Linked DNA regions of Oryctolagus cuniculus. The protein of the gene in region 1 purifies or fractionates together with the protein of each later gene. This does not show direct contact. Links are inferred from orthologs where the notes say so. Each region holds a gene or a part of one and is shown in the gene's direction. Other genes may lie near its edges.

Region 1 (3,649 bases):
TTGGAGAAAAGCGAAACGCTCGCCCCATTTCATGCGTCCGTCTGTTAGAAGGTGATCCTGATTTTGCGAGCCCGAGAAGGGGAAGGTGTTGTATTAAAATACTTCGTCAAGTGTGTGGTGTCCAGAGCCCTTTCTGTGTAACGTGTGAGCTCTGCGCTGGCGTGGTTACAATTCCATGGCTGTGCGAGTGGTCAGTGGCTGTGCGAGTGGTCAGTGGTGTAGCGAGAATGCAGTAGGCAGGGTGGAGACTCCGGGACTTCAGCCTGAGCACACACGGCCTGCTTTCTTTGTGACCTGGGGTTGTTTGCTCTCATAGACTGTGAGCACCCTTGTTATCCAAGCGGCGAACGTGTCGGCGTTGTACAAATGTGAAGCGGTCAACTCAGTGGGCAGAGGAGAGAGGATCATCTCCTTCCACGTGACCAGTGAGTACCGCTGTCGGGGGGCTGGCTGGGACCACTCACACAGTGCCCCCCCCCCGCCCGGCTCTGTCCTTGCATGGCTGTGAGTGGCGTGGCCTTGGGGAAGGGAACTTGGGTTGCTGATCGGCAGATTTGTCCGTATGTTCAAATGCCAGTGTGTCTGACGTCACTGCAGTGAGAATGATGTCACGTGAGCTTTAAGTCACAAGCTCTGTGCCATATTGATGGTGTGGGCACGAGACTGTAGCATGTGCGTGCCATATTGACGATCGATAAATTCTGCTGCCCTCGTTCAACAGTAGACGGGTTGGGTTTCCTGGAGGCAGTCGGGTGACGCGAGAGCAGATTGAGTTTGCAAATCAGCAAATCTTAGTTTGAGTTGTCTTTGTCTTAGTTTTATGGATAAACCATAGCTGACTGTGTCAGATAAGATATTTAGGCTGTGCTGACTGGTTGTGATAAACATAGCTCCAGTGCCAATAGGTGTTCTGCACTGGTGGGGAGCTAATTTTTCAAATTCTGTGTTAGGATTAGATACTGATGCCCCTTGACTGAGGCTGATAGGATCATCTCACATTGAGAGTTGATTGAAAATGCGTTTTTTCATAAGTTGAAAATACGTTGAATACTCCTACCTTCCAGAACATTATGGTTTGTCCCAGCCGATCTTGAATATGCCCAGAATACGTGCACCAGCCTACGGTTAGGCAAAGTCACCCCAGACAAAGCCTATTTTATAATAAGATGTTACGTAGCTCACGTGGCATATTGAACACTGTCCTGGAAGTGAGAAACAGAATATTTTCATGGATGTTCTTTCTCACTGCCATAAAGTTGAAGAACCCCAGGATGACTCATTGTAAGTCAGGAGTCATCTAAACTCTCCCTTAGGCTTTTTTAAAAATCCTTTTTTAGGGAGGGAGAGGGTGAGGGAGAGAGAGAGATCTTCTAATGAAATGCTCTCAATAGCCAGGGCTCAGACAGCCTGAAGCCAGGAGCCCAGAATTCTAGTTGAGTCTCCCACATGGGTGGCAGGGGCCCAAGAACTTGAGCCATTAGCTGCTGCCTCCCAGGGTGCATTAGTAGGGAGCCAGCTGGGAAGCTGAGTGGCCGGGACTCAAACTGGCACTCTGATGTGGGATGGGGGTGTCGCACATGGCAGCTTAGCCGGCTGCGTTGTAACACCTTAGAGCTCAAGGTAGAGACGTGATGAGTATCTAGGGAATTCATTGACATTTCCAAACAGTACATCTTGGCCACGAGGGACGTTTTGGGACCTGAATGGTGCAGTACATGATGTGGGGGCCCAGGGGCTTCTCTCCTTCGGGCCGGTCGCAGCAGTCCGGGGCCACCGAGAGGACAGTGGTGGGCCGTGCCAGGTCACATGGGCGCTCTAACTGTGGGCTTTCCATTTCAGGGGGTCCCGAGATTACTCTGCACCCGAGCACCCAGCCCACGGAGCAGGAGACCGTGTCTCTGTGGTGCTCCGCAGACAGGACCACGTTTGAGAACCTCACGTGGTGCAAGCTCGGCCCACAGGCCCTGCCGGTCCACGCAGGAGAGCTGCCTGTGCCCGTCTGCGAGAACTTGGGTGCTCTCGCGAGACTGAATGCCACCGTGTTCTCCAACAGCACCAATGACATTTTGATCACGGAGTTCCAGAATGCTTCCCTGCAGGACCAGGGCCACTATGTCTGCTTTGCTCAAGACAAGAAGACCAAGAAGAGGCATTGCGTGGTCAGACAACTCGTAGTCTTAGGTAGGGTGGGACTCGGGCTCATCCTGCCTAGTCAAGTCGATGCCTTAAATGCAGTGTTACTGGGTGCTGTGTGAAGATGGTTGTCTTCTTCAAGCTTGTGAAACAGATTGGTGCACACATAACTTATTTGTTTACAAATCGTCCAGGCTTACAAAAAAGCTAATAACGGTGAGGTGGTATCTTACAAAGCGATAATAACAGGATTGTTTCCAGTCTTGTGCTGGGGTAATTCACTCGTGTCTGCAAGGGATTTGCTTGTTCTGCCTTATTTTTGGGCATTCACGTATTCCAGTAGACACGTGCTCGTGGAATGCCTTCTGAGAGCTAGAGGAAGGCCAGAAGTTCGCAGGGGTGAATAGGATGGACAGGATGAGCACAGAGGCGCCCACTGGGCTCTGTCAAGAGGAAGGGGGCGTGTTTCCTGCTTCGTTCCCTGCCATAGCGCTAGTCATCGGACGTAGTGGTAAAGACTAGGTGCTTGGGATCATCTCTGCTGCTTGCGGAGTGTGATGGTGGGCTGAGCTTAGGATCTAGACGAGTCCACAGGAAGGGTGCTGTGCTCAGCGCCTGTGCTTCTGGGTCAGCCCAAGTGGTCTGGCACAGTTCAAGGCCAACGGGATGATTTTCCAAGGAGGAGATTGTTGCTAAGTTTCCTGTTGTGTCACTCTCTGCACCTGTCTAAGTGTGTGTCTCGTGCACAAGCCCGCCAGCCAGGTCTCTGTTTCTGCAGGAAATCAGACAGATTTGGGGAGTCATTCTTTGCGCTATTTCCCCTCCACTTCCCACCTCCTTTCAACGGCATTCCCAAAATGTGTGTGTCCCCAGAGAGGGTCCTGCCCAGGTAAACTTCTCTCTACCAGACTTTTAGAGGACTAGCACCTTGCTCTGAGGCTTTGGCACGTTTCCAGGGCTAGCCTCAGACAGACGCTAGGTGACGTCGCTGGGTTTGGTGGTCAGCTGTCTGGAGAGATTCTTGTGTCACAGCCTCTCCCGGACCCTTCAAATCCCACTGCATGTGTGACCCCGTGTGCTCCGTAGACATTGCTGAGTGGTCTGATTCCAAAGCAGTGGAAGCATTCAAAGCAAGCGGCTTGCTTCTTCGAGGACTCCTTAGCTGTTTTCCTAACCTCTATCCTTACAACTAGGCTGGAGTCCACTGCGTTTGCCTCGGCGCCAATGTAGAGGGTCGTGGAGGTCAGCTCCTAGTGCTGAGGGTCGCGTGGATTCTTTCAGCGTGACTCCCGTTGACGTTCAGTCGGTTTGGATGAGATATTCCCACAGCTGTCTAATGATGCGTGTAAATCACCCAAACATATCTAAAGGTTCGCCATGCGTTTCAACAAATGCCCTTCAATCCTGGACCCAGCCTTTGGGGCTTGCTGTTTTGTTTGTTTGTGGTTTATTGGAAACCGCACTGGGCTGGTCTTTTCAGCTCACTGGATTCTATTATTAGTTCAACTGTTTACTT
Region 2 (3,649 bases), on another chromosome or scaffold:
CCTTGGGCCCCTGCACCCACGTGGGAGACCTGGAGGAAGCTCCTGGCTCCTGGCTTCAGATTGGTGCAGCTCCAGCAGTTGCGGCCATCTGGGCAGTGAGCCAGCGAATGGAAGACCTCTCTCTCTCTCTCTCCCTCTCTCTCTCTCTGTCTCTCTCTCTCTCTGTCTGTCTCTCTCTCTCTGCCTCTGCCTCTCTGTAACTCTGCCTTTCAAATCTTTTTTTAAGATTTATTTATTTACTTGAAAGGCAAAGTTTCAGATCTTTTTTTTAAGATTTATTTATTTATTTATTTATTTGACAGGCAGAGTTACAGAGAGGCAGAGGCAGAGAGAGAGACAAAGAGGTCTTCTATCTGCTGGTTCACTCCCCAGATGGCTGTGTCTGGGGCAGGCCAAAGCCAGGAGCCAGGAGTTGCTTCTGGGTCTCCCATATGGGTGACAGGGACCCAAGCACTTGGGCACCTTCTGCTGCTTTCCCAGGCACATTAGCAGGGAGCTGGATTAGAAGTGGAACAGCTAGGACACAAACTGGCACTCATATTGGATGTCAGCATTGCAGGATGTAATTTATCCACTATGCCACAGCACCAGCCCCGGGCTTCCACTCTTATAACCTAATCAATCAAACTGCTTCCCATAGGCCACAGACTCTAAACTCCATAAGTGGATTCAGTATCCACCCTCAAGTGGGTGTTTAGCCAAGTGGTTTAGCCTGGTGCCACATGGGAGTACTTGGGTTCAATACCTGGCTCCGGGCCGGCACCGCGGCTCACTAGGCTAATCCTCTGCCTAGCGGCGCCGGCACACCGGGTTCTAGTCCCGGTCGGGGTGCCGGATTCTGTCCCGGTTGCCCCTCTTCCAGGCTAGCTCTGCTGTGGCCAAGGAGTGCAGTGGAGGATGGCCCAAGTGCTTGGGCCCTGCACCCCATGGGAGACCAGGATAAGTACCTGGCTCCTGCCATTGGATCAGCGCGGTGTGCCGGCCACAGCGCGCCGGCCATGGCGGCCATTGGAGGGTGAACCAACGGCAAAGGAAGACCTTTCTCTCTGTCTCTCTCTCTCACTGTCCACTCTGCCTGTCAAAAAAAAAAAAAAAAAAAAAAAAAAAAAAACCTGGCTCCGGCTCCGGCTCCGGCTCAGGATTCCAGCTTCCTGCTAATGCAGCCCCGGCAGATGGCGGGGAACGCATAACTAATCCACAAGGAAGGCCTGGGTTGAGTTCCCAGTTCTGGGTTCAGCATGGCCCGGCCCCAGCCACTACACGCATTTAAAGGGTTCACCAAAGGAAAGGAGTTTTCTTACCCCACCGCCTCATTAACACTTTTTTAGAGATTTTTTTTTTTTTTTTAAGTTTTCCTTCTCTTAGTACCACTGACTAGGACTTTGGGGTCTGCCCTCTGCGCGAGTTCAGGAGCCGGATACTTCAGCCAGAGCCTCCCTCTCTGGGGCAAACGCGCCAGTAACCACAAGGGCAGCAGTGGTCCCGCCCACACAGAGCCACGTGGCAGCAGTGGCCCTTCCCACCCCACAGGCCGGGAGAGTGAGCCTGAGACCAGGGTCTCCCTGAGCACGCCGGCTTTACTTCCCCAGGCAACGGCTTGTTAAGTGACTGAGGGCTGGGGGGGGGGGGGGGAGGCTGGGCCTCATTTTAGAAGCTGTCCACACTACAGGTCCATGTCTACACCACAGCCAGACCATGAGACTCCCTGTTTCTATTAGCTAAACTGGAGCTGAACTCCATAGAAGGATCATAACCTCTCCTTGAGCGAGATGACTCAAGAATGAGCCCAAGAGTGCCAAGCATGTATACAGCTGGTGCTTAAGAGAATAGATGCTACTGCAGCAAGGGGCTCCGTGGCTACCAGCACCACCGTTTTCCGTTATTACCATCCTAGTTAGCAAAGTGATGGCGCCCCAAGTTCCTAGTCCATCCCTTTCCCCATTTCTGCCGCAACCTCTGGCTTCCTGGTCTTTGGGACACGGCCTGGGAGGATCCGCCTCAGTGGTCAGAGCAGGGAAGAAAAGGGCGCAGCACAGGGAAGTGGGGCTGAGACCGAGAAGGAGATGAACTTGATGAAGGCTCCCCACCCCCGCCAGCGAGGACGATAGCCAGCCAGGACCACGGGTCCGCCACGGGGGAGGGCGCGGGCGTGGGCGCGGCGTCCCTGCGGCCCAGGAGCGGCCGGGAGCCGCGGGCTGACTCTGCCTGTCGCCCCCACTGGCTGCCCGCAGTGATCACCCTGCTCATCTTCTTGCGGAGGCGGCTGCGCAACCAGGCGCGCGCCCACGGCAAGAGCGTGCCCGAGATCCACGAGCAGCTGGTCACCTACGACGAGGAGGGCGGCGGCGAGATGGACACCACCAGCTACGACGTGTCGGTGCTCAACTCTGTGCGGCGCGGCGAGGCCAAGGCCCCGCGGTCGGCTCTGGATGCGCGGCCCTCCCTGTACGCGCAGGTGCAGAAGCCGCCGCGGCACCTGCCCGGGGCGCAGGGCCCGCCGGGGGAGATGGCGGCCATGATCGAGGTGAAGAAGGACGAGGCGGACCAGGACGGCGGCGGGCCCCCGTACGACACGTTGCACATCTACGGCTACGAGGGCTCCGAGTCCATCGCCGAGTCCCTCAGCTCCCTGGGCACCCACTCGTCGGACTCCGACGTCGACTACGATTTCCTCAATGACTGGGGGCCCAGGTTCAAGATGCTGGCCGAGCTGTACTCAGACCCCCGGGAGGAGCTGTTGTATTAGGGGGCCCCAAACCCGCTACAGCCCTGGCGCACGGTGGACACCAGGCTCGGAGCCCAATGAGGCGGGGGGCCTCACTCTCCAACCTGGCACCCCTTTCCCCGTGGGCCTCAGAGACCTGCCACCCTCCTAAATGCTGGGAAATCCATTCTTCTGTCCTGTCGGGGCTGGGACAGCCACATGCCCCTGGCACCCCCGGAACATAGAGGCAAACATGCCCTAGCTCTTCGAAGAGCAAAGCAGCCTGTATTCAGCGGGGGTGGGAGGGTGGGGGGAGGGGAACTTCCTGTCGGGGCCCTGAACGCTTCTGAGGTCCTGGCCCCTGTCTGCCTGGAGGCAGGGGGCTGGACAGCATGACCCTGGGGGTGAGACACTGCAGTTGTCCTTCACACTAACCCCCAGCCCTCCCAACTCCCTCCTACCCCCTTTGCTAAGCTCCGCCCCAGGCCTGTCAAGGGGCCCCTGGCAGCTCGTGACCCTGGGTCCCAATGCGACCTCAGTGACCAGCCGCTCCAGAACTGCTGTACTGAGCGTTGACCTGTTCAGCCAAATTCAGGAAAAACCGCTGGTTGAACTTGAAGCAACTGTGAATTCATCCCGGAGGGACGGGGAGACCACATGTGACAGAGCACAGCGCGAGGACCACCTCCGCACCCGCCCTGTCGGAGAGGGCCTGGAGAAGCTGAGACCCCGACTGCACGCTCATCTACCCCCCTCCAGCTCTGCCGTGGGGCGCGGCTGTGTTTGGAGCAGAGGCCTCTCCCCATCTCTGCCGCTGGCCATGCATTGCACTCTGCACCGCTTCTCTCCCCCTCTTCGCCTTCTCTCTGCACTTAGAGGCGCTCACCACTAGTCCTGAGCACACTGGCCAACGCCCACCCCTAAATGTGACTGCGTGACAGAGCC

The links.
Region 2: the proteins of KDR (region 1) and CDH5 purify together in Homo sapiens (affinity purification with western blotting; 3 studies listed by BioGRID and IntAct, with this or other methods). This does not show direct contact. The link is inferred for Oryctolagus cuniculus from reciprocal best matches to the Homo sapiens genes KDR and CDH5.

What each region holds. Positions count from the first base shown.
Region 1 is NC_091439.1:109,292,642-109,296,290, forward strand, and holds part of KDR (vascular endothelial growth factor receptor 2 precursor), read left to right. Parts: intron 1-316; coding exon 317-425; intron 426-1,839; coding exon 1,840-2,181; intron 2,182-3,649. UniProt on the Homo sapiens protein: Tyrosine-protein kinase that acts as a cell-surface receptor for VEGFA, VEGFC and VEGFD. Plays an essential role in the regulation of angiogenesis, vascular development, vascular permeability, and embryonic hematopoiesis.
Region 2 is NC_091449.1:49,341,999-49,345,647, forward strand, and holds part of CDH5 (cadherin-5), read left to right. Parts: intron 1-2,231; coding exon 2,232-2,746; 3' UTR 2,747-3,649. UniProt on the Homo sapiens protein: Cadherins are calcium-dependent cell adhesion proteins. They preferentially interact with themselves in a homophilic manner in connecting cells; cadherins may thus contribute to the sorting of heterogeneous cell types.